Linked DNA regions of Canis lupus familiaris. The protein of the gene in region 3 purifies or fractionates together with the protein of the main gene of each other region. This does not show direct contact. Links are inferred from orthologs where the notes say so. Each region holds a gene or a part of one and is shown on either strand. Other genes may lie near its edges. The genes, in order: FUS, VIRMA, ZC3H18, SRPK2, SRRT, PRPF4B and RBBP6.

Region 1 (4,241 bases), on a different chromosome or scaffold from region 3:
AGACACAAAGAGAGAGAAGCAGAGATGTAGGCAGAGGGAGAAGCAGGCTCCATGCAGGGAACCCAATGTGAGACTTGATCTCAGAGTCACGCCCTGAGCCAAAGGCAGACGCTCAACCGCTGAACCACCCAGGCATCCCATCCCAAGAGATTCCTATTCCTATTCATTAAGTATTTTAACCCTCTCAGAAGGGTGTAGTACAAATAGGGAAACCCACATTATGTACATATTAGGATCTCAAGGTACATTCTACCGTTTGTGTATCACCATGATACATAGTAATCTGACTTCAAACATCTTTAAGCAAATCATTTCCTCCCTGTATGAAAAACCTAAAACTGGGCAGCCCAGGTGGCTTGGTGGTTTAGCGCTGCCTTCAGCCCAGGGTGTGATCCTGGAGACCCGGGATTGAGTCCCGCGTTGGGTTCCCTGCGCAGAGCCTGCTTCTCCCTCTGCCTGTGTCTCTGCCTCTCTCTCTCTCCTCTGTGTTTCTCAATTAATAAATAAATAAATAAAATCTTTAAAAAAAAAAAAAAAAAACCTAAAACTTTCTCCATTTAGGGAATACTCTCCTCTCCACATTTCATTGTCATGCTGAAGGGAAATGGGAAGGAGAATATAAACAGAAAAATTCAAAGTCAGAAATAAAAGGAACCAGAATTACAAACCAATTAAATATTTGTTTGAAAAGATTCAAACTCCAAAAAAAGTTCAAGGGTTACAGACTACGAATAAAGAAATACAGTTTCAACATTTCAGCAATGTTTAAGAAAAGCAACATTCAAAGAGCAGGAAGAGGCGGGGTAACCCACTAAAAGAGACTCACTGTTCTGGGTCTGTCCATAAGAAGAACCATAGCTGCTCTGGCCGTAGCCTGAAGTGTCTGCTGACTGACCGTAACCACTGTAACTCTGCTGTCCATAGGGCTGATTGCTCTGCTGGGAATAGCCCTGCCCAGGCTGGGTGGGGTAGGCCCCATAGCTGGAAAAAAAGAAAAAAACCAGTGGAATCAAGAAAAGATACCTTAGCCACCCTTGCCACCCTACGAACTGGAAGTCCTGAAACAACACTCACCTTTGGGTTGCTTGTTGGGTATAGTCTGCAAAAGAAAATACAATTACATTACCTTCAGCCATCCTTGAGAGTATAACAGAATTAAATTTCTTAACTCAAGCCCTGGGGCCTTCAGATAGTATCAACAATGTTGCAAGAAAAGGCAGAAATTCCCTCATGACAGGAAGGACAAGATGGCAGGTCATAATCAAGTTTTCTCCCAATGGATACCAAGAAGTCTCACCAAAAACAAAACAAAAAAAAAAGAATCTTGGTGGTAAACTACAATGTTCTGTGAATTCAACTGATGTCAGGAACTGCACAAACCTACATAACATTTTATTTTCTTACCTACTCTAGGGGAAAGGTATCATCAACAGTCGAGTTAAAGTCACAAACTGGGGACAGATTTTGATGCAAGCCAAAGGCAGCAGTGAGGGGGATGCGGCCTCCACTCTCTCAACCAAGCCCAAAGAACAGATAGGTCTCAAATGAGGCCATTCTTCACCCTTTGCCTAATCTTGGAGAATGACAACGTGGGCTTTTTTAGTACAAAGCCACGTAACCAAGAGAACTCTCCGACCCCAAATAACAGAGATCATCACAGAGTTCGCTTTCGGAGGTCAATCAACTGGGACTCAAGTGCCAAGCCCCGTGCCTCCAAACGATTCCGTCTGCTCATCTGCATTGCCTTCCTCGAGGGCTGTTGGGAGTCTCGGCAAACCAAATGTCGCGAAAGCGCTTTTAAATCGCCCCCAATGAAGGCGCACCAACCCAGATCAACTCATCACCTCCTCAGTACAGGAAACGAGGCGCTTCCCCCGCAGGAAAAGGGCAAAAGATCGGGAGAGGGTGTGGCCTCGGGCGGCCGTTCCTCTCGACTCCCACCACGGAAAGCGGAAATTTAGGCGGGAAAACCCTCGGGCCCGGTCCCAAGTCCGTTAGACGACCCCCTAGGGGCCTCCCCCAAACCGTTAAGCTGGCGCACGGCCCCGATCCCGAGCCTCCGCCCCCGGCCGCGTGGCAACCGAGGCGGGAAGCAGGCGGTCCCGCCCCTTCCCGAGGGACCCCCGGGGCTAGGCCCACACCGGACGCGCGCTACGGAGCCTGCAGCGGAGAGTATCGCGACAAAAAGCAGGGCTAACACGAGGCGGGAGGGGGGTTCGCGCCGCGAGAAAGGGGGGAGGGGCCAGCAGGGCGCGTGCGCGCACCGAGTGCCCGGATGCAGCACTGCGACAAAGCGGGGCCCGAGCTCGCGGCTGGGAAGGGGGGGGGGGAGGGAAGGCTTCGGGACCGAGCGTTTCCATGCGTGCCTCACGTTTCAAATTACCAAGAAACGTCCGTGTCAAATCTCACCTCAAGTAAAGGCACTGAGACGGCAAGATCCCCTACCACGCGCAAGGCGCCGGAGAAGCGAAACAAAATGGCGACACAGGCCTCCCCCCCCCCCCTCCACCCCTCCCGTTGCTTCCCGCCACAGCGGTGCGAGAAAACCCTACACGCGATCCGCCACCCGGGTCCCATCAGAAAAGAAAAAAAAAAAAAAAAGCCCAGCTGGGAGGGACCGAAGCCCCAGGCCGGCACGCCGCCGCCGCCTCGCGCCCTTACATACCGTTGGAGGCCATGTCCGCGCACGCGCGCACAGGCCGGCAAGCAACAAGGTTCCAACACCGCAGAGCACCGACGCCTCGAGGACTGAGCGGCCCCGCCTCCTGCGTCGAGACTTATGTACGTCTCCCCCGCCTACGTACCGCGGAGGAATGCACGAAGTGCGGAGAGGGAAGGGGGGAGCGTGGCTGGACTCTGCAACCCCTCAGGGAGTACCGAGGATCCTCATAGACAGAGGGGAAGCATAGCGATTAAGAAACTTGGCAGGCAACATACATAACCCTATTTTTCCTAGCAAAGTACTCTGACTCTCCCTGCAGGACTGGCCCAAGCCTCACCTTCACCCCCTAGAAGGGCATCATGGTACGGTCCATTGACCCCTCCCACCTGGGGGTGGAGCGAGGGGCCCAGGGCGTCTGCGGACGCAAGTGTAGTCGAAGCCGGGAGTCGCGGGGCGGGAACCGAAATTCTCCCGGCTGGCCCCTTTCACTGGGCCCCACTTTCACTAGGACGGCGAGCCCCTGCGCCCCGGTGCCCTTCCACTGCACCAGATGCTTGGTCCCTGCGGCGCCAACCTCCCTCTCCGGCTCAAACGTTCCTCCCCCCCCCCCGACAACACACGCCCCGCGTCGCAGGTTCCCCCTGCCATCATCTTTCTGGTTTGCGTCTCCCTTGGTCCTTGCCAGCAATTGTGGATCGTGACGTCCGACCTGAAAGGAGCTTAACCCGGACCCCAGCCCTGATCGCCCACCAGACCTCTTCTGGATTTTGCCCTTGACTTAGCGGTGGGACGGGAAAGCCCAGGCCCTCCTGGACGTCAGAGCCGTTGAGATTAGATTAGGGTCTCCCTTACTTCTTTTACTGATGCAGAACTTTTTTTTTTTTTCCTAAAGCCCTACCAAGGAACCAACGTGGAGGGTCAGTGATAACTGATATTTATAGAGAGTGTAAGTGGTTTCAAAATGTACAATCAGGGGCGCCTGACTGGTGCAGTCAGTGGAGCGTGTGTGACTTGATCTCAGAGTTATGAGTTCCAGCCCCACGTTGGGTGTAGAGGTGACTTAAAAATAAAATCTTCAGGGGCGCCTGCATGGCTCAGTTGATTAAGCATCGGACTCGATTTCCGCTCAGGTGGTGATCTCAGGGTGGTGAGATTGAGCCCTCTCTTGGCTCTTCGCTCAGTTGGGGATGGCTTGAGGTTTCCTCTCCCTCTGCCCCTCTTCCCTGCTCCCACCTCTGCTCCTGCTCCTGCGGTGTGCCCGCTCTCTCTCTCAAATAAATAATCTTTTAAAAAGCAACGCTAATTGATTGTGTTCCCATCACCATCTTGTGAAGAAAAGGTATCTCCCATTTTATAGGCAAGAAAGCATCCAACGAAGGCCAAGCACAATCCAGATTATAGGGTGGCTAAGGGTTCGACCGGATTCCAGTCCAGGTCTGTGTGGCTGCAAAATACTGCTTTTTTTTTTTTTTTTTAAGATTTAATTTATTCATGAGAGACACACAGAGAGAGAGAGAGAGAGGCAGAGACACAGAGAAGCGGGCTCCATGCAGGGAGCCTGATGCGGGCTAGATCCAGG
Region 2 (3,500 bases), on a different chromosome or scaffold from region 3:
GAAATCTTGTGTTAGGTATCAAACAAAATCTGCTTTCTTCAGATAAAAATATTCTCTCAGATGTCTCCAGATAACTGCTAAGTCTAAGTTGGTCCTTTAATGTCTCATTTTATTTTTATCGTCCTCAGGAAATGTTCATATACACTCAGGATGTTCCCAAAAGAATTTTTATCGTGTGAAGGATCGTACATGACGACCTCTACCACTGCCTCCACTAACAAACTTTCCTCTTGAGCCTCCACTGCCACTATTTGCACTTGCCCAGGAAGGTCCAAGACCCCCACGACCTCTGGAAGCGCGGTCACGAGGACTTGGTCGGTAGCCTATAAAAGAAAAAATAGTTTTTAGTCATAATATCCTTTCCTTTCCCACTATAGAAACAGTAATCTATAAAGCTGATTTCAAACTAAGACAGGAATTACTCTTTGCTCCTTTAAAAATCTGTGAATGGGGTAAAGACTACTGAATTGTCCACTTTAAATAGGTTAAGTTATATGATATGCGAGAATTATATCTCAAATAAAGCTGTTATAAAAATGAAAGTGGGGATCCCTGGGTGGTGCAGCAGTTTAGCGCCTGCCTTTGGCCCAGGGCGCGATCCTGGAGACCCGGGATCGAATCCCACTTCGGGCTCCCGGTGCATGGAGCCTGCTTCTCCCTCTGCCTACGTCTCTGCCTCTCTCTCTCTCTGTGTGTGACTATCATAAATAAATAAAAATTAAAAAAAATAAAAAATAAAAAAATAAAAATGAAAGTGTATTTGAAACCAAAAGCTACTTGTGATCAGAATTCCAGACTTGACATAATAGTGTTTTAAGAAAAACAGGTTGCGTGCCTAAACACACAAGACAATATTGTAAACAGAAACAGAATATACTGCATGAAGATATCTCTGTTATTAAAATACTTTGAGCAAAAAAAACCTTAAGGATTGGCTTTCATCATTGAAATATAAAAGGAGAGGTGCCTGGGTGGCTCAGTAAAGCATCTGTCTTCGGCTCAGGTGATGATTATCCCATGGTCCTGGGATTGAGCCTTGCATCAGGCTCCCTGCTAAGCAAGGAGCTTCTCCCTCTCCCTCTGTCCCTCCCCTCCTTTTGGGAGTACATACACACTCTCTCTCTCAAGTAAATAAATAAAATCTTTAAAAAAAAAAAAAAAAAAAGAAAGAAAGAAAAAGAAGAAGAAATATAAAAAAAGAGCAAAGGATGCCTGGGTGGCTCAGTCAGTTAAGTGTCCAACTCTTGGTTTCACCTCCAACTCCCACTCTCTCTCTCTCAAATAAATAGTCTTTTAAAAACACAAAAAACAGAGCAGGGGGCAGCCCAGGTGGCTCAGCGGTTTAGCACCGCCTTCAGCCCAGGGTGTGATCCTGGAGATCTAGGATCAAGTCCCACATCCGGCTCCTTGCATGGAGCCTGCTTCTCCCTCTGCCTGTGTCTCTGCCTCTCTCTCTCTCTCTCTCTGTTTCTCATGAGTAAATAAATAAAATTTTTAAAAACAAAAACAGAGCAGCCCGGGTGGCTCAGCAGTTTAGCACCACCCTCAGCCCAGGGCCTGATCCTGGAGACCCAGGATCCTGGAGTCCCACGTTGGGCTCCCTGCATGGAACCTGCTTCTGCTCCTCCCTCTGCCTCTCTCTCTCTCTCTCTCTCTCTCTCTCTCTCTCTCTCGCTCATGAATAAATAAATAAAATCTTAAAGAGCCTGTTTTTAAAAAAACAAAAACAAAACAAAACAAAAAAAAACAGAGCATGTCCCTGTGAAACTGCCAAGATTATACACATAGTTCAGAATCCAGAATTTTGATTATTTCTACAGGAAATATACATTGGGCATTCATTTGCAGATATAAAATTAAATTGCCTATAGAATTATAAGCCTACATTCCAAAATGTTCTCTCCCAGAATGAGAGTTTATGACATCCCTCTCTCAGCAGTATTAACTCTGAAGGATATATACCCCCCCCAAAATAAATAAATAAATAAATAAATAAATAAATAAATAAATAAATAAAATAAAATAAAATAAAATAAAATAAAATAAAATAAAATAAAATAAAATAAAATAAAATAAAATAAAATAAAATGGAAGGATATATACCTGTAGAAATAAATAAATAAATAAATAAAATAAAAAGGAAGGATATATACCTGTAGAACTAAGTGGTCGTAATGGTGGAAGAGGGCCCCTGTTAAAGTTGCTCTGGCCTCCGCGACTTTCATTGTAAGTTCCTCGAGGAGTATTCTGTGCACTCCAACTGGAACCTCTCGTTCCCTCCCGACGACTGTAGTTCCCTGAACACAGATAACACAATTAAGGTCTACTACTTTAGTTGGATTAAAAAAGATTTGATACTGGGGTGCCAGTCAGTTAAGCATTTACCTTTGGCTCAGGTCATGACCTTGGGGTCCAGCCCCACGTCAGGCTCCCTCTCCCTCTTCCTCAGACCTTCCCCTCACTCATGCTCACTTACTCGCTCTCAAATAAATAAATAAATAACCTTTTTTTTTTTAAGGTTCAACGTGTTTTTCTTAATCTTCAAAGTAACAAGAGAAACTATGAAATTCTGTAAATGACATATTTGCCATATACTACATTGTGGCAGTACTGTATGTGGTTAGAAGCAGAAGCTCTGGAGCCAGACTGCCAGGGTTCAAATACTGGTTCTGCCACTTATATATCCTGGTGAGCTGACTGGTAGTTTTCTCTGCTGTAAAGTGGGGGTACTAACAGAACTTACTTCAAAGGGCTGATTTGAGAGTATTATATATATAATAGTCCTAACACAGCTATGTGTTTGTTATTAATGTAAACTGCTATTCTCTCACTGCCAAGTCAGCAGTACGAAAACATGTCATCAATCCACTAGTGAAGAATAATTTCTACAAATGCACTGTTTCTAAGAAGTTTAAACAAAGAATGTTCAATAAATCACAGAAACAAAAAAATCATGAAGTAAAAGCAGCCACCGTTAATGATCAATAAAACAAGTTTCATGTATTTTTGTTAAATTCTACAACAGTAGCTTTAAAAAGAAATAAGAGGGATCCCTGGGTGGCGCAGCGGTTTGGCGCCTGCCTTTGGCCCAGGGCGCGATCCTGGAGACCCGGGATCGAATCCCACGTCGGGCTCCTGGTGCATGGAGCCTGCTTCTCCCTCTGCCTGTGTCTCTGCCTCTCTCTCTTTCTCTCTCTGTGACTATCATAAATAAATAAAAATTAAAAAAAAAATCTTTTTAAAAAAAAAAAAAAAAAAAGAAATAAGATTTGTGTTTAAAGCTCTACTGTGCAGTGGTCTCCCTAACTCCCATATGGAGGGTGGCATTTTTGAAATAGGTATGACACAGGTGTACAATGTTTGAAATGGAACTTATTAACAGATAAAATCTTGAAACAATCTGAAACATTAAACTGAAGTGTCTGGCTGGCTCAGTTGGTAAAGCATGCAACTCATGATCTTGGGGTAATGAGGTCTAGTTCCACACTGAGTGTAGAAAA
Region 3 (3,500 bases):
TTCATCCCTCAAAACTCAACTTTTTAAGTGCCTGGGTGGCATAGTCAGTTTAACGTCCAACTCTTGGTTTCAGCTCGAGTCACGATCTTAGGGTCGTGAGATCGAGCCCCGTGTCAGGCTCTGAGCTCAGTAAGGAGTCTGCTTAGGACTGTTTCTCTCTCTCTCCCCTACCATGCATGCACACGTGTTCTCTCTCTCAAATACATAAATAAATCTTTTTAAAAAAAGATCATGATTACCAAAGAGGTAAGAATATGCAATGAGGAAAAGTCTCAACAAATGTGTTGAGAAAACCAGACAGCCACATGCAGAATGAAACTGGACCACTTTCTTGTACCATATACAAATTCATTTCCTTGCCTTTTGCAGCTTCTGGAGGCTGCCCGCATTCCTTGGTTTTTGACTCATTCTTCCATCTTTAAAGCCAGCAGCTATGGCAATATTTTTCTAGATACGTCTCCAGACGCAAGGGAAACAGAAGCAAAAATGAACTATTGGGACTTCATCAAAATGAAAAGCTTTTGCACAGCAAAAGAAACAGTCAAAAAAACTTGAAGGCAGCCCAAAGAATGGGAAACAATATTTGCAAATGACATATCCAGTAAAGGGTTAGTATCTAAAATACGTAAAGAACTTGTAAAATTCAACACCAAAAAAACAAATAATTCAATTAAAAAATGAGCGGAAGACATGAACAGACATTTCTCCAAAGAAGACAAACAGGGCAGACCCGGTGGCCCAGTGATTTAGTGCTGCCTTCGGCCCGGGGTGTGATCCTGGAGACCCGGGATCGAGTCCCACGTCAGGCTCCCTGCATGAAGTCTGGTTCTCCTTCTGCCTGTGTCTCTGCCTCTCTCTCTCTCTCTGTGTCTGTCATAAATAAGTAAATAAAATCTTAAAAAAAACCCAAAAAAACAAAAAACAAAGAAGACAAACAAATGGCCAACAGACAAATGAAAAGATGCTCAACATCACTCATCATCAGGGAAATACAAATCAAAACCAGAATGAGAAACCACCTCACACCTGTCAGAATGGCTAAAATCAACAATGCAAGAAACAGCAGGTGTTGTCAAGATGTGGAGAAAGGGAAACCCCCTTACAATGGTGGTGGGAATGCAAACTGGTGCGGTCCGTCACTGTGGAAAATAGTACAGAGGTTCCTCAAAAAGTTAAAAATAGAGCTACCCTACAGTCCACCAATTGCACTACTGGGCATTAACCCAAAAAATACAAAAATACTAATTCAAAGGAATACATGCACCCCTATGTATACTGCATTATTTACAGTAGTCAAAATTTGGAAACAGCCCAAGTGTCCATCAACAGATAAACAGATAACAAAGATATGGTATAGAAACACAATGCAATATTACTCATCTGTAAAAAAAAAAAAAAAGATGAGTAATTACTCATCTGTAAAATCTTGCCATTTGCAATAACATGGATGAAGCTAGAGAGTATAATGCTAGGTGAAATATATCAGTCATTAAAAGATAAATACCATATGATCTCACTCATATGTAGAATTTAAGAAATAAAGTCGGTAAAAAGAGAGAGGCAAACCTGGAAACACACTCGGAACTATAGAGACCACCCTGATAGTCACCAGAGGGGAGGTGGGTGGGGAGATGGGGGAAACAGGTGATGGGGATGAAGATGAAGGGGTGTACGTGTCTCAAGGAGCAAGTGGTGATGTATGGAAGTGCTAATCACTATACTATACACCTGAAACTAATACTATGCTGGAACTAAAATAAAAAAAAACTTAAATATTTGCATTATAAAACCCAACCAATCCATGTCCAAAAAAATATGTTACTGTTACCTTCTCTGTAACCTGAAAGTCAGATTACTTAAATAAATCATAACAAATTATGATGGCTTAATCAAAGGCTGAGATGTTTGGAGGCACAACCCCTATGATGCATTCCAAAAGCTCTTTTCAGGGACACCTCCAAAGATGCTTGGTCCAGCTGGGACCCTCGCCAAAGAATGGGTTCAGGTACAAAGATAAAAAAGCCTGGAAGAACAATCAAGACTCAAAGCAAGCTTCTGGAGTTCATGAGTCTCACAAACCCGACAGGAACTGAAAATCTACAATAGTTTTAGTTGAATATAATCTCAAGTATTATTTAAAGATAGCAAAAAGAAAGGGAGAAATGATCTCTCTAGGTTGCACAAACCTAGAGCTCAAGAAAACAAAATCGGGATTAGGCATTTTAATATACTCCACCAGCAGCAGTAGACAGAGGGTCCATGGAACTTCTGTCAGCCACCAGGTGGCAGACCCCAGTTGTCTGAATCTAGCCTATTCCCTTGGTTTTTGGCACTCCCAGAATAGTCCTGACTTCCCAGCCCTCATGTGCCCTACCCTTTGCCCCACCAGCCCAGGCACTCACGTCGAGCTCCCCATCATCAAGCTCCCCGTCATCATCCTCCTTGTTTTTCTCCTTGGCGGTCTCCAGGGGCTCCTTGTCTTCCACACTGTGAGCGCCTGTAGCCCCCTCTTCCCCAGGAGCTCCTTCTCCCTTCTCCTCATCATCCTCAGCACCAGCCTTCTCGGCCTCATCCTCCTGCCCAGCGGGGGCCGGCTCCTCGGGGACCTCCTCATCGTAGTCTAACTCATGCTCATCCAGGTCCCTGGTGACCGATGAGGCCTCGTCTCTCAGGTCGCTTGTGTGCTCCTCTTCCCCACCGTCCCCCTCTTCAACGTGTGGAGGGCTCGTGGGCTCCCTGCTCAGATCCTGAGCCTCGGACTCCTGGTCCTGGTCCTCCTCGTCAGAGTGACTCTCCTCCTCCTCCTGGCTCAGTCCTGGGGCTGCATTGTCTTCATCCTCCAAATCAGAAGCCCTCTCCCCAGCTCCGTCCAAATCCTGGTCAGACCCACTCTCCCTCAGAATGTCATCATCCGAGAGCCCCTGCTGCTCCTCTTCTTCGTCCTCTGGAGAGCGAGGGTCCCGTTCAGGGCTCTCGGCCACATCCATCGGTACCCACAGTTCTGCAAAATGAAGACAACACAGATGCACAGCAGTTAGCAAAACAGAAAACAAATCCTGGTCTGGTATTTTTGGACTCATGCTCCTTCCTGACCTGCAGGCGGGTCCAGGACCTGCACAGCTCCTCCAAACCCCAGACCCAACTCCACCGTCTCCTGCCACTGACTGTTTCACCAGGGAGGCCGGCAGGCTGGACCCACCCACAAGACCTCCACAAGGCTGCACTGTACTCCCTAAGCTGTGTGTTAAGTGCCTCACACATGCATCAATCTGGCAGAGACCTGGAGTACTTGTCATAAGCACAACCTGGTAGGTAAACAGAAAGTGAGCAATAAGATACGCATTGCAAGGGACAGCTTTTTGGATTCTTAAATTACTCTTAAAATCCAAGAAAAGTTGCATTATAGAATGAAGCAACAGAATTGAAGGCACCCTGCTATCTTTCTGGAGCCATCCTCAAGGGTCTAGAGCAGAAACCCTGACCTGCCTTGTCCCCAGGTC
Region 4 (3,500 bases), on a different chromosome or scaffold from region 3:
ACCAATCAAATTATCACAGTTGCTTTAAATATTTTTATTTTATTTTATTTTTTGCTTTAAATATTTTTAGTGAAAAATTTAAAAAGCATTTCTACACTGTAGGAGAACATTATAGATTTATGCACAGATAATATAAAGCCAGAAGTTTCTTACTATTTCCCAAATCATTATAAAAAATGGCAAAATGATTACAGTTGGTAAAAGACGCAGAGCCAAAGGCCAAGATTTCTAAATTATGACCTAAATCTTCTCAAAGCACTGACAACCTGGACTATAATGGTTTCCCTGGCGCTTTATAAAATAGTAATAACAGCCACTGGAATGTATATATACCCAAAACACTCCATTTACCTATAAATCAGGTAGTTTCTCCAAAGAAATTCTCTCAGCTATCCCAGCAAACTGCCTTACAAAACTAAGAAGAGGAGCTGCCCTGCCTGCCCATAAACAAACAAGCTCACCTGGAGACAGGGCAAAGGACCAGCTCTGTCTATAGGGTGGTGGAAAGAACACCAGAACCTGAATGACTTGGATGAGCGTCTGACTCTTGATTTTGGCTCAGTATGTGATCTCAGGGTCATGAGATTGAGCCCTGCATCGGGCTCCATGCTCAGTGGGGAGTCTGCTTGAGATTCTTTCTCTCCTTTTCTCTCTGCCCCTCCTCCTCTTCAAATCTCTCCCTCAAAAATCAATCTTTAAAAAAAAAAAAAAAAAAAAAAAAAAAAACGAGGGGAAAATGCACTGAGCAACAACCAGAAATAATCTTGAGGAAAAGACAAAGTGACATCAGCAGGCACTGGTACTTACTAGTACCCTCTAATCCAATCTCTGAAGGAAATACAGAACCTCCTTCAGACATACAGGGTATGAAGGAAGTGCCTGCTCAGGGATTAAAGCTTAGGAGATACAGAAACAGGGTACCAGTCTGGGCTGTAAGCTGGGAGAAGGCTTTGTCCTCGGGCTTCTGGAGCTGGAGGAGGTCAAATACCAAAATGATGGATCTGTTCCAAACATGTTATGATGGAAGGAGCAAAAGATTGGCAAGGAGAAGACCCTGACTCTTGACACAACCGATCTTTTGCTCCTTTTCATCTGTAATGATGACTGTGACTAATCTTTCTCTGCTCTCTACTTACACATATGTATGGTTCTTCCCCAGCTTGATATTGAAGGTAGAGGGATTGTCTGTAAAGAGCACGGTGCCTGGACAAGAAGAATGTTTAAGATGCTGTACAACCCCAGAGAGATTACCCAAGACACTGAAATGGACTGGCAGGAATTGGGGAATTTTCGGCATACCATGTTATAGCATTCTATGATGACAGTAGAGGCTTTATATAGACATTGATACAGCACAGCAAACAGGAGTTTAAACAAGCTTGAAATATTTCCATATTTTAAAAGTAAAAAGCCACTAGGAAATAAAAGAATTATCAGTAAGGATACGTATTCCATTCATGCCTGAAATCTTGAAGTCATCAATTAACTGTACTACCATGTCTTTATTCGGGTCAGTGGGATCACTTTCTCGAACCTACAGGAAAAAAAATGAATTCAAGGACAGAAATATTTAAGACTGAAAGTCATTTCCATTATAATCAACTAAAAACATTTTAGTAAAATGGATGTTTTTAAAGATAAAAGATTCATCATTCAAACTTAAAAATTCCTCTGTAAAATTTTGTCATTAATTTTTCTTGCATTATTCACATTTTGGGGATACTTACACATTTGAGCAGTTTTATTTCATCCAAGGCTGTCTCTGTATAATGCTGGGCACTTTTTACAACTTTCATTGCAACAAATCTTTTCCCCCTTTAAAAAAAAATGCATATTTTTAATATTAACAGAAGTAATCATTATAATAACATCTATTCAATAAATAGAAACTTCCTTTTTTTAAAGATTTTATTTATTCATGACAGACACACAGAGAGAGGGGCAGGGACATAGGCAGAGGGAGAAGCAGGTTCCCTGCGGGGAGCCTGATATAAGACTTGATCCCAGGACCCCAGGATCAGGACCTGAGCCAAAGGCAGATGCTCAACCACTGAGCCACCCAAGCATCCCAATAAATAAGAACTTCTAAAAATCTTTCCTTTAAAACAGTACTTTTTCGGGGATCCCTGGGTGGCTCAGCAGTTTAGCGCCTGCTTTCAGCCCAGGGTGTGATCCCGGAGTCCCGGGATTGAGTCCCACATCGGGCTCCCTGCATGGAGCCTTCTCCCTCTGCCTGTGTCTCTGTCTCTCTGTGTCTCTCATGAATAAATGAATAAAATCTTGAAAAAAAAAAAAAAAACAAGACAGTACTTTTCAAATTGTGCAACAGCAATTAAGCAATAGGTTAATGGATCAAAACAATCTCTTCTTTGCATCATGTTGTCTTTACCTAATTAAAAAAAAAAGGTAGACTGGAAAAATATCAGAGTTCATCCATACATTAAAGGTAATTCTTATTTTATAACACTTCTGTTTTAGTACATACACATACACACCATATATGTATGTGTGTAAGGGGTAGCATTGTAGTTTCATACTATGGAGCCGTAAAAAAAAAAAAAAAAAAAAGTTAGAAACCACTGACTTTTAAGGTCGACACATCATTATTTTACATGTGAATGTTTCTCTGATATGGGTGAATTATTAGAAGAATATGTGATACAATGCAATTTCAATGAATAAGCTTCAGACATAAAAGCAGAAGAAAGTTAATAATATTAAGATAACAGACAAGAGAACTTCTGACTGGGGTGGGTGGGTCTCTAGGTGAGTGGGGCAGGCTTATGCCAAGTAGTATACATGCCACAACAGAAGTAGGCATGCTCCTCAGCCATATTGTATTATAAAGGTTGAACTAGTCCAGAAACTAAATGCACAAATGACAAAGAACACTTACTGCATATCCCAGCACAGCCAGACAGTTGAGAAGTGTCCCCATCCTAGCTTCCTAATAACATGGTAGCGGCCATTGAAGAGGTCTCCAATTTTCACCGGATGGTAGCCACCTGTTATAAAAAATTTTTTTTTTAATTTCAGAGAAATAGTAATAAAATCTCTTCCTTTGTGTCAGTTCTTTTTTTTTTAAGATTGTATTTATTTTTCAATTAATCTCTATACTCAATGTGGAGCTTGAACTCAAGACCCCAAGATCAAGAATTACATGCTCTACTGACTGAGCCCGCCAGGTGCACCCTTTAGTCAGTTCTTGAGTCCATTTAAGAAAGCTCTAAGTACTAAAATCAGATCAAAATATGTTTAATAATACAACATTTTTCTTGAAAGTATCTTTCATCGAGAGAAAAATGTCCTTTGCCTAAAAAGCCCTTCTGTTCATTCTGATTTAACTCAGACAAGCCATCAAGCACTCTGTAACAGTAATTTGTGTACATAATATGCACACACCAGTTCTTGACTTTTCCATACAATGTCATCTTCTTTTCTAAGCAATAAATTCAATGCAAATCTTCTTGGGTTAGTATAATAACTCAGCAAAATAAAAA
Region 5 (3,500 bases), on a different chromosome or scaffold from region 3:
GTTCCATGGGAGTCACTGACTGTTGGCAGAGGAGGTGTCCCAGGCTCAGAGGCCCAGAGCTGGGTCCTGTCATCCAGCGTGTGGATCAGCTTGGCGGCCAGTTTGATGTCGTTGCGCACTATCTGCTTGTGCTGGGTGATGCCATTGATGTTGCGGACTCGACGGGTCAGGTCTCTGTTCACACCAGGGCTCAGCTCACACTCCCGGAGCTAGAGAGAACACAGAGCTCACCAAATGTGCCCGAGAAGCAGCAGCTCAAGGGACTAGCCCTAGTGACAAGACCAGTGACTAGAACATGAGCTCCCCAAGAACATGGACCAGGAGGGTCTTATCAGGGACAGCACCTAGGCCAGACACCAGTACACAGTTAATGTGAGCAGACTGAACAGATGGGTGGGAGCACAACAAATGAATCAAATAAGAATCGGGTGACGTACATTACAGAGAACCCAGTCCCAGCACTTACTCGGATATTCTGCAAGTTCCAACAGATCTCTTTGATGTTAACACTGCGGTCAAAGGTGACCCAGCCACGGCGGAAAAACCTACAGAAGAAACGGTCAGCATAACCCTGGGATACTGGCCATTAGCCTCCCCCTGTACCTATTTCCAAGGTATACAGGGTCACTCTCATCTCCATTCCTCACCTCCTCTCAGGCTGGGGCTCTGACAGTGCCACACGCATGAAGCCTGGGTATCTTTTACAAAGCTGGAAAAACAGAGGAACAGAAACCCCAATGAGTAATTCAGCGTTTCTCACTTCTTCCAATCCCTGTGTCCTAAGAACCCTGAGAAATGCCTGTGAATCTTTCAAGTAAGGAAAAACCAATAAAGGGCTTAATAATAAAAGCACTTGGGATGCCTGGGTGGCTCAGCAGTTGAGCACCTGCCTTTGGCTCAGCGTGTGATCCCAGGATCCGGGACTGAGTCCCATATTTGCCTCCTTGTGGGGAGCCTGCTTCTCGCTCTGCCTGTGTCTCTGCCTCTCTCTCTTTCTCATGAATAAATAAAATCTTTAAAAAAATAATAATCATAAAAGCACTTAAGGGACGCCTGTGTGACTCTGCAGTTGGGCATCTGCCTTCAGCTCAGGGTGTGATCCCGGGGTTCTGGGATCAAGTCCCACATCTGGCTCCCTGCAGGAAGCCTGCTTCTCCCTCTATCTTCTGCCTGTCTCTCATGAATAAATTTTTAAAGAGTAAAAGCACTTAGAAGCAAATGGTATAATCGAGGGCCAGCCCACAAAGGGCCCACGAGAAGAGGCTTCCCTGTTAGAGAAATGGGTATATGTTAGAAGCAGAACCATATTATCTTACCCCCGCCTCACCAGCTCCCCTTCCCTGCTACCAAATATGCCATTCCTGCAGCCAGTACCACTTTTTCCCACTCACAGAAATGATCTCGGCTCGAGAGATGTTGGGTGCGATGTTGCGCATAAAGAGGGAGCAAGTCTTATGGAGGGGCCGAGGTTTACATTCCAACCCAGGAGTGTCCTTAGGCTTCTCTCTGTCTTCTTCTTTGGGCTTCTCCTTTTCTTTTAGTGCCTCTTCTATGCAGGAAGTGTTGGAAGTTGGTGAATATTTATTGTTGATTTTGGAGGGAAAGAAAGAAGTGGTGCAACTCCCCCCCCACCCCCATGTCCCAAAGGCCGGCCCTTATCAATTTTGCCCACTCCCACCTCCCCTACCCCTATTCAATAGGAAGAGAATGAACTAAAAGAAGATAAAACCTACCAGACTCCTCCTTCTCTTCCTCAGCTTGGCCACTCTCTGACTCTGACTCGGACTCTGACACGCTGCCTTCATCAAAGCTGTCATCACCACTGTGCTTCCTGTTCCGCTTCTTGCTAGTCTGTGAGAGCCACAGCAAGAGGAGGGGAGTCAGATAACCAGGACCCCAGATCTGACAATGACCGCCTGGCAAGAGATACCCTACCTTTTTGGCATCTTTCTCAGAGTCATCTTTCTTCTCTTCCTTGTCCCCATCACCCTCAGATTTCTTAGTTTTGTCATCATTAGAACTGTCATTTTCAGCCTGCAGGTACAGACAATCCCGGGGATGTCCATCTCCCCTTCAACCTTTATCAGAGGGCCCCCTCCCTAGCCCTCCACCTCTCCTGGACCCAGCACACAACCCACCAGGCCCCCTGACCACTGAAGTTGCACCTTCCTCCTCCCTAGGAACTCAGAGGCAGCACCCAATGAGCCCAGCACTCTGACCTGTTTGCCGTCTTCTTTCTTGTCATCCTTATCATTGGCCTTGCGCTCTCCATCCCCCAGGCCTGGTCCAGCCCGGCCTTCCTCTTTCTTACTGGGCTCTCCAGGCTTTCCTGCCTGCTCCTCCTCCTCCTCCTGCTCCAGGATGCGCAGATCATTCTCTGTCCCTCCTTCCATCTTAATCACAGCTACCAACAAAGGGAGCAGAGGTCACAATCCTAGGGTCCTGGCCTTCAGCCTCTTGCTTATCAACTGACTTCTATTTCCAAACCAAGATCTTGGGTCACCAGACACCCTCTTCCCCTCCCAAATCCACATACCTGCATCCAGCATCTTGACGATGGCATCAGCTTTGTCTATGTCCAGGAGAAGATTATCAAACCAGCCACTCTCCATAAGGGACAGGAATACCCTCAGTCGGTTTTGCAGGGCCCCCCGGGCCTCCTGCCGACGCTTCCCCACCTCATCTGGGTGGTACTTAGACCGAAACCTGGGAAGGAAGTGGGGAGGGAAGAGACAAAATAGTCACTGGATGCCAGGGCCAGGACATGGGGAGGGGCCCAGGCAAGTCAGGGCTTAGCCCCCATCCTCTCACACCCACAAAAAACCATGAAAGCAGAAAGACTGGGGAGAAGGGTACACTAGAACCACCCAATACCCCCAAAAGGAACCAGAGGTTATGCTCTGAGAAGATTTGTGGGAGAGCCAGGAACTAAGAGCTCTGGATTTGGGAAAAGCCATGACTAAAGGGGAAGGCCAGGGTTAGAGAGGCAGAATGATTGCCCTGTGTCTCTGGGAAACACTAACTTAAAAAACTGTAGTTTCCCAAAGCTTCCAAGAGGAAGGCTAAGGAAATAGTAGATCCCAGAGAACCTCCCTCTCCTTGCCAACCCAAGAGCTAGTCATTAACAGGACTGCTCCCACCAACTCCCTCCATCCCTAGGTGGAAGACAGAGGGAAACCTGAAATGCACTGATAGGAAAAGCCAAAAAAGGCAGAAGTTTTCTCCCCCCTTGGGAAGAAAAGCAGATGGTGAAGGGACAGGGAAAGATCAAAGGGAGAAACTGAAGTGCCCTTATAACCTCAGGTACTGCCCACAGGGAGAGAGAGAGAGAAAGAGAGAGAGAGGGAGAGAGAGAGAGAGAGAGAGAAAAGAGGTGCAGGATTAGGGTGGAGCATGGAAAGGAAACATTTAAAATAGGACCTTGAGGGGGTAAAAACAAAAAAAATGAAGAGTATGAGAAAAACAGAAAGGGAAAGTGTGACAAAGTCCCAGAAATTGAA
Region 6 (3,500 bases), on a different chromosome or scaffold from region 3:
GAAAAATATAACACATTAGGGGCCTTTTCTCTTGGCAGTTTAAGAAACCCAGTGACATTTTAAAAATTAAGTTCCAACAGCCCTGAAATGATACAGGTCAGACCTCATTAAAACAAATACCAACGTTAACTAATTTCTGTGTAAATTATTCTAAACAAGTGCAACATGATTGAATTTGGACAGTACCTAAAAAACATAATGGCTTCTGACCTACTTTGGGAAAAATCTGTAAACTCCCAGAAATTCAGCAAATTAAGCTGAAGTCATCGGAAATCTAACATATAGCCCTCAGACAAGTTAATAAGTGCCTAAAATTTCTGCTTCATTTCTGAAACTAATTATTGCAGCTGAAGCATTAAGGGCAAGTTTTATGTTAGAAGGACGTCAATTTCAAGTGAGTTTTTCTTGGTACCTTCCTTTCCCAAATAACTTCCAATCTTTAATAAGCTGATTGCCATCAAGTTCCTTTTCCAATATTCACCCGTCATTCTCTGGCAACTGAGCCCTTCTTCACATCTGAACTAACCTGACCTGCATCTTTTTTCATTCCACCTCTCAAGCATGTTTGGTGCTGTTACCAATAACGGTGTGCTCCCAAGGCTGCTTCTCTGCCCATCATTAAAGGATAATAAATGGAACAAGGGAAGAACAAAGATATGAAACAGTCATATATACATGTATGGTTGCTTAACAAATGTATGCTCATCAATCTCTCTTCCTCAATTCCAATTCTATTCTGTAGGCCCCTACTCTTCTGCTTAAAAGAGTAAAGAAAAGCAAAGAGAGATGTTAGAGGGGAACAGGAAAATGGAGCTCTCTTATTCACTTCTGATAGCTCTTCGCTGACTAGAACCACTACCTTTAGTAGCAGAAATGAAAAAGAGCTAAGGAATCACAGTAGCCATATAGCTGCCTTTCTGAAATGGTTTTATAGCCACTAGTGAGTGATGAGTGCAGTAATGCATTGGTCTACAGTAAACTATTGCTAAGACGTTAAAAAAATAATAATAAAAACTCACATTAATGCCCTACCTTATTTGGCATCTTTCCTTTGAGGTCCATGGCGAGCTTCAACATATGGTTATTGGTTTTGCCAGGAAATAAAATTTTTCCAGTGTAGAGCTCATATAAGGTACAACCTACAGACCACATATCTATACCATAGTCATAGCTTTTACCTATAACTGAAAACAAAACAGAAGTTTTAATACATGATGATAGTAACAATCCACTATTTACTTTCATTAATAGGGGATTAATTTAGCTTGGCTTACATAACTGCAATCTTAATACCTCACTTTGGCATTAGCTTCATGTTTTTTTTTCCCCCACTAATTCTTAACTTAAAATCTTAAAAAATGAGGGAATGCAGAAGGAATTGAAAGGGGGGCAGGGGGCAGAGGAAGTGTGTATTTCTTTTATTTCACCTTTGGTGGAGGTGCTAACCAGCCTCAACCAAGGCACAGGAAGAGCAAAAAAAGGTCCCATACAATCCATAAATTTGATAATCAGACCTTGAGTAATCAAGAGCAGTCTTCTAAAGCCGAAGATTTTCCACAACTGTTTTGCTACTCTTGCCAGACATGATCAAGACTCCTGTCACAACTACCACCATTCCACCTGAGGAGGATGAACTTGCTACGGTTCCCTTCCTCATCAATGACCTCGTGCAGCTGCTGAAGTGCGATGGAAAACAGTACTTAGACATTAAATATGCTGTTTCCACTGCATATGATGGCCCAGGTCAAAGAACATTTGAAGAAACTTACTGATTTCAGGAGCACGATAAAATCTACTGACAAGATAAGGTGTTATGTCATTATCCGCAACATGTGAAGCCGACCCAAAATCGCAGAGCTTTAAAATAGTTTTTGATTCATTAACCTGCAAAACAGTTTATCATGGAAGTTTAATTCATGTCCAAAATAATTATGACAAGTAATCAGATAAAAATAACTGGCTTTGAGAAGTTACTTCCAATACTGAAAACAAAGTTACCCATTTTAAAATTCCTTTTCTAATTATGTAATAAGTCAATTTCCTAATTATAAAAAAATTAAAAGCTATTAAATATTTGATTACTATGAGTAAAAAAAAAACTTTTTTCAGTGAAGAAATACGGGCTAATACCAAGGACATTTAATTTTAACCAATGCTACTTAGAAAAGGGAGGGGTATAGTAAGAGAAAAATCTCATTGAAGCAAAGCATCTTCTAAAAATCCCCAGAATACCTGAATCAAGTCGAGTTACTATTTAAAGGAACATGAAGACAATTCATTAATAAGGATCAGATTTAGGTTAACTTTCAAGTGACTGTAGTTAACTTTCAGTTGCCAGAAAATTATGACAGCAATGAAAGCAGAGGATGATTCAGATTAAATCTGGACAAAAACAGAATAAGAACATTCTTCATCCGAAGCGGCTAGACCATCCCATATTTAGCAATCACTTCAAGTCTAAAAAGTATCAAATCCCTTAAATATAAAGAAGGTATTAGTTAAGAAAATGTTAAATATATTTGGCACAACTGATAAACACGAACTCTATATTAGTTATTTGTTTCTTTTTTCCTTTGTAAATACTTCAACATACACAGTAACAGTGACATCTGCTGAGAAAGGCTGGAGTTGCTCCCATGGCTGCTGCCACTCATGAGTCAGAAGCATGTTCAGGTCTAACAAGTGAAGATAATTCATATTCCAGAGTCCCTTCCCCCCTTCAAAAGAGACACACACAAATTCCGAGTTGGGACTTGAACTTGGCCTACAGTTCCCACCCCAAAGAAACATAACACTTTAAATAAACTAGGCACTTTCTATTGGGACACCAGAACACTTGGTCAGTGTTACAGATTGGCCCATTAAAGAGGATATCCACAGAATTAAGCTAGTAACGGAAATGATTATTTTTCACGGACAATTTTTAAATGAGAAATTATCAGTTGAACTCCTGGGCTGGCTAAGACGCCTTAAATAATCACAGGATACCCACACTTATCTGCACTCTCCAGTTTGGCTACACAACCTCCATGAGAAACATGGAACTCCTACCACACTGATGGCTGAAATGCTGGGCTAAAGGGTTTGGATTTTCATTCATAAACTCCCTCTGGTTTCTGATGTCTACCTCCTCGTTCTCAGGAAGGAGAGAAACCTGTAATGTCTGAAGTCCATGTGTAAACTACCAGAGTAGCATTAACTCAAAGAAAATGAAGTTTTAAAAACAAGAGCTCCTAAGATACTGGCAAATGTCTTAACTTCTATGGTGGTTACACAGATGTTCACTGCATAATTACCTTTAAATTTTACATATTTTATACAGTCTTCGGTACAGATGGTGTATTTCACAATTTAAAAGAAACAAATGGAGATAAACATTAACTTTGAAGTTGACTAGACAGGTCTATAATTCACTTATTTCACTGTAATTACTTAGCTTCTCTAATCCCAGGTCATATTAGATGTGTAACACATTGTAAAGTCAAACAAAATCTATTACG
Region 7 (3,500 bases), on a different chromosome or scaffold from region 3:
TTTTCAATCTGTGGGTCTGGTGGGTTAAGCACATATAGTAATTTATTGCCACTTGATTCTTTATTGTTCCTTGCTTCTAACATGTGCTTCTCACGATCTTTACAAGGATTTTTATCTACAGGTTTTATTTCTTCACTTGGGCGTTTAGTATCATAAGTAGCTTTGTGATCATGAGGTTTTTTGTCTCTTGAGGGACTGGAACTGCTCTTTTTGGAATCTCCTGTTCCTTTTTTGGGCAAATCTCTCTCCTCTCTTGGCTTAGTTTTCTGTCCAGATGCAGAATCTTTACTTCGAGGAGGAGAGTCTTTCCTTCTTGTTAATTCATTCCTTTCATCTCTACGTTTGGAACTTGAGTACTCTCTGTTGTCGTAGTCAGTTTTTTTGTCTCTGTTGGGGGTAAAGTCTTTAGTTGAGGAACCTCGAACTGAATCATGCTTATCTGACGTTCTTGTCTCTTTGGAAGATTGAGACAGACTTTTAAAATTCCCTTGTTCACTTAGACGGTCCAAGTTACTATCTTTCTCTGGCTGAGCGCTGTTCTTCCTCTTTTCAGGGTTTTCCTTCTCTGAAACTGAATGATCTCGATCTTTGGTCTTTCCCTTTTCACTGGAGGCAGAATTTTTTGAACTTTTGATCTCATGCTGTATAAGTTCATGGCTCACTTCCTTGGTGAGTTTCTGAATTTTCTCTGATGACTCACTTTCTTTTTCAGTATACTTGACTGTATTTAATGGTTTAGTGCTAACATTTTTAATAACACTGGCAGGTTTTCCTACATTTGATATAGGCTGTGTGGTCTTAACATCTTCTTCTTCAGATTCAAAGTCATCTTTATCCCATTTGGACTGAGGAACCTGAATCATAATAATAACATCTTCAGCAGGAGCTGTATTGTCGTTATTATATTCTTCCATAGTTTTAATGACAGTTCGTTTTGTATCTGTTTTTTCTTCAGATTTCCGCACAGGACTGCCTCCCGTTGAGCTCGTACTAAAAACAATTAAAATATTGTTAAATAATGAAGAATTTAATGAAGAATTTACTTTTACTGAACATTGAAGTATAATAAGGCTAACTTAAACATAAACGTCCTTTTAACTCTCAAAGCCATTGGCGCTACTCTAATAGAGATTAAATGATTCAAATGTAGGACTGCATAAAAACAAATGTGGCTCACCCACAAACTGATTTACAATCTTCAACTCCTTTCATTAAAGACCAGTCTAACCAGTAAACCAGTCTAACCCCTTTTTAATTAACAGACCCTTTAAAAGTACAAGCATGGATAAAATTAAAGGATATTCTCCCCCAAAACAAACATCTACATCCAACTACCCATAATCAGATACCTGGTGTAATCCACAAGCGTTGAGCTGGATCCCTCAGCTCCAGCTACTTTTCGTCTGACCTTTCCTTTTACTTTTTCTTGTTTAACTTTGCTAGATGTCGACTCTAATTTTTCAGAGGGTTCTTTTGTATTAGATACATTTTCTGTACTTCCAATTTTTTTACCAGTTTCTCTGTTGAGCTTGATTTTTTTGGCTGGGGCAGTTGAGGATGATGAAATCTTGTCCTTCTCAGGGGTCCTATCCATCTTTTCAATATCTGGTTCCATTTTGCGCTTTGGTGATGGTTTCACTATTTCAGTTACTTCTAGTTTAGAGATTTTCATTGAAGAGGACTCAAAATCTTTATCTACGCTTTTTTCTTCGGTTTTTCTTTTTCTTTTTTCTCCCTTGCTGTCAGGTGGCTTACTTTTCTCACTAGGCTTCTTGGCCTTTTCTTCCTTATTTGTTAATTTTTCTGATTTGACATCTTTGGAATAATCCTTCTTCACTTTTTCCTCTTTGACTGGTTTTGTCTCCTGGTGTTCCTTTGCTGACTTAGAGTGAGCTTTCCTGGGGGTACCAATGATCTTTTCATCTTTTTGGGAGGAAGATGATGACTTAGCATTGTCAGTCTTTGGAGTCTCCTCTTTGGCTTTTTTAAGTGGAGGTTCAGATCGAGGAGATTTTTCACGCTCTCCATCTAGTTTTTCTTGAGGTCCCTTAGCAGGTTTTGCAATGTTTTCTTTTTTGGACACTGTAGACCCATCATTTTTCCGTTTGGTCTTGTCACCTTTTGCTTTTGGTTTGTCTTTCTCCCTCTTGTCTTTTTCAGACACTGATTTAAAAGTGATAGATTCTGCATCCATTGGTTCATCTCTAACAGGTGTAGCATCATCTCGACTTGGGAGAACAAACAATGAGTCAGTTTTATTTTCTTCACCACTTGTAGGTTCTCTCGATTTCCTAGAAGTTTCTAACAACTCAGGGTTTAGAAAACCTTCGCTTTCCTCCCCCTTTCTTCTTTTCCTATGTTTCTTATGTTTGTTTCCTTTACCATCTCCAGGAGCATTTTCACTCTCTTTCTCTTTCGACTTTGTGTTGTCCTTCTGATTGTGACTGTCTCTTGTTGAAAGCTTTTCTGGATAGTTGCCACCTAAGTTTCGACTTCTATGACTTTGTCCACCAGCATAATCTTCTCTGCGGCCTCTTGTGAAGGGAGAATTCCTGATATTAAGAGGCAAAAACCTCTCTGGAGAAAAGTTCTCTCTATTTGCTGATGGTCTAGGCTGTGCTCCAGTAGCATAACCTATTTTATAATACTTTTCATACCACTCTCTATATTTTCTCTCCCATTCTCGGTAACGCTCTTTTTCAAATGGGTCTCTAAAATCAACACTCCTCCCATAATAAGCTTTCATGTCATAAGGTGGCGGAACTTCTCTGTATCTATTAAAATATTCACGTTCTGTTTCCCCTTGAGGCACATTACGTTTATTGGGAGACTGTCCCCTAAATGCTTGAGGAGATCTTGACCGTGAATGATACCGTCTATATGGGGGTGACCTTGACCTAGATCGATGATATCCATGAGATCTAGACCGTGAACGGTAATTTCTGCTCTTGCCTCTGCCTCTTCTGGGGTATGGAGGCGATCGTGAATAGGAACGAGAGTGTGAGCGGCTAAATGATCGAGAATAAGAACGTGAACGTGTTGAACCAGATCTTGACTTAGAATAAGTATAGGAACTTCTTGAATATGATGAACCACTATAAGGAGATTTAGACCTAAAAACAAAAACAAAACAATAATTGATAGTTGAGAAATACATACAAAATAAAATACAGATTCAGACTCTAGCATGCTCTCCTCACGGTTCCATCTTTTATATCAAATTTCATCTTAGATGATTAAAGAGGCACAGTGACCTCTACTGGAATGGAATAAAGTACACAAAGATCAGAGCAATCACTTGTTACAAAACAAAAGTGAAATCTTGACAATTAGAGTGAAGCGCATTAATGTACCGTGAGTTATATGAGCTAATTAAGTTAACACTAAACAAAATGCCAATTAAATTTAACTTCCTATCTGGTTATTTAAGTAGGAGTAATTTCTTTGTCCTACGTCGGCCAATAGTCTAGCTTTGAAAGGAACCACATTTCAAATGTAAG

The links.
Region 1: the proteins of ZC3H18 (region 3) and FUS purify together in Homo sapiens (affinity purification with mass spectrometry; 3 studies listed by BioGRID and IntAct, with this or other methods). This does not show direct contact. The link is inferred for Canis lupus familiaris from reciprocal best matches to the Homo sapiens genes ZC3H18 and FUS.
Region 2: the proteins of ZC3H18 (region 3) and VIRMA purify together in Homo sapiens (affinity purification with mass spectrometry; 3 studies listed by BioGRID and IntAct, counting the BioPlex papers as one, with this or other methods). This does not show direct contact. The link is inferred for Canis lupus familiaris from reciprocal best matches to the Homo sapiens genes ZC3H18 and VIRMA.
Region 4: the proteins of ZC3H18 (region 3) and SRPK2 purify together in Homo sapiens (affinity purification with mass spectrometry; 3 studies listed by BioGRID and IntAct, with this or other methods). This does not show direct contact. The link is inferred for Canis lupus familiaris from reciprocal best matches to the Homo sapiens genes ZC3H18 and SRPK2.
Region 5: the proteins of ZC3H18 (region 3) and SRRT purify together in Homo sapiens (co-immunoprecipitation; 4 studies listed by BioGRID and IntAct, counting the BioPlex papers as one, with this or other methods). This does not show direct contact. The link is inferred for Canis lupus familiaris from reciprocal best matches to the Homo sapiens genes ZC3H18 and SRRT.
Region 6: the proteins of ZC3H18 (region 3) and PRPF4B purify together in Homo sapiens (co-immunoprecipitation; 4 studies listed by BioGRID and IntAct, counting the BioPlex papers as one, with this or other methods). This does not show direct contact. The link is inferred for Canis lupus familiaris from reciprocal best matches to the Homo sapiens genes ZC3H18 and PRP4K.
Region 7: the proteins of ZC3H18 (region 3) and RBBP6 purify together in Homo sapiens (affinity purification with mass spectrometry; 3 studies listed by BioGRID and IntAct, counting the BioPlex papers as one, with this or other methods). This does not show direct contact. The link is inferred for Canis lupus familiaris from reciprocal best matches to the Homo sapiens genes ZC3H18 and RBBP6.

The regions. Positions count from the first base shown.
Region 1 is NC_049227.1:17,230,614-17,234,854, forward strand, and holds the start of FUS (RNA-binding protein FUS), read right to left. Parts: upstream 2,801-4,241; 5' UTR 2,679-2,800; coding exon 2,666-2,678; intron 1,100-2,665; coding exon 1,075-1,099; intron 982-1,074; coding exon 827-981; intron 1-826. UniProt on the Homo sapiens protein: DNA/RNA-binding protein that plays a role in various cellular processes such as transcription regulation, RNA splicing, RNA transport, DNA repair and damage response. Binds to ssRNA containing the consensus sequence 5'-AGGUAA-3'.
Region 2 is NC_049250.1:39,865,439-39,868,938, forward strand, and holds part of VIRMA (protein virilizer homolog), read right to left. Parts: intron 2,298-3,500; coding exon 2,154-2,297; intron 324-2,153; coding exon 169-323; 3' UTR 1-168. UniProt on the Homo sapiens protein: Associated component of the WMM complex, a complex that mediates N6-methyladenosine (m6A) methylation of RNAs, a modification that plays a role in the efficiency of mRNA splicing and RNA processing.
Region 3 is NC_049226.1:65,246,645-65,250,144, forward strand, and holds part of ZC3H18 (zinc finger CCCH domain-containing protein 18), read right to left. Parts: intron 3,002-3,500; coding exon 2,403-3,001; intron 1-2,402.
Region 4 is NC_049239.1:15,480,313-15,483,812, reverse strand, and holds part of SRPK2 (SRSF protein kinase 2), read right to left. Parts: intron 3,006-3,500; coding exon 2,897-3,005; intron 1,816-2,896; coding exon 1,728-1,815; intron 1,535-1,727; coding exon 1,447-1,534; intron 1-1,446. UniProt on the Homo sapiens protein: Serine/arginine-rich protein-specific kinase which specifically phosphorylates its substrates at serine residues located in regions rich in arginine/serine dipeptides, known as RS domains and is involved in the phosphorylation of SR splicing factors and the regulation of splicing.
Region 5 is NC_049227.1:8,831,701-8,835,200, forward strand, and holds part of SRRT (serrate RNA effector molecule homolog), read right to left. Parts: intron 2,707-3,500; coding exon 2,537-2,706; intron 2,405-2,536; coding exon 2,220-2,404; intron 2,035-2,219; coding exon 1,936-2,034; intron 1,852-1,935; coding exon 1,734-1,851; intron 1,550-1,733; coding exon 1,392-1,549; intron 710-1,391; coding exon 648-709; intron 546-647; coding exon 467-545; intron 210-466; coding exon 21-209; intron 1-20. UniProt on the Homo sapiens protein: Acts as a mediator between the cap-binding complex (CBC) and the primary microRNAs (miRNAs) processing machinery during cell proliferation.
Region 6 is NC_049256.1:5,595,361-5,598,860, reverse strand, and holds part of PRPF4B (serine/threonine-protein kinase PRP4 homolog), read right to left. Parts: intron 1,885-3,500; coding exon 1,770-1,884; intron 1,677-1,769; exon of another isoform or gene 1,515-1,676; intron 1,185-1,514; coding exon 1,033-1,184; intron 609-1,032; coding exon of another isoform or gene 522-608; exon of another isoform or gene 1-521. UniProt on the Homo sapiens protein: Serine/threonine kinase involved in spliceosomal assembly as well as mitosis and signaling regulation. Connects chromatin mediated regulation of transcription and pre-mRNA splicing.
Region 7 is NC_049227.1:21,720,899-21,724,398, forward strand, and holds part of RBBP6 (E3 ubiquitin-protein ligase RBBP6), read right to left. Parts: intron 3,114-3,500; coding exon 1,350-3,113; intron 991-1,349; coding exon 1-990. UniProt on the Homo sapiens protein: E3 ubiquitin-protein ligase which promotes ubiquitination of YBX1, leading to its degradation by the proteasome.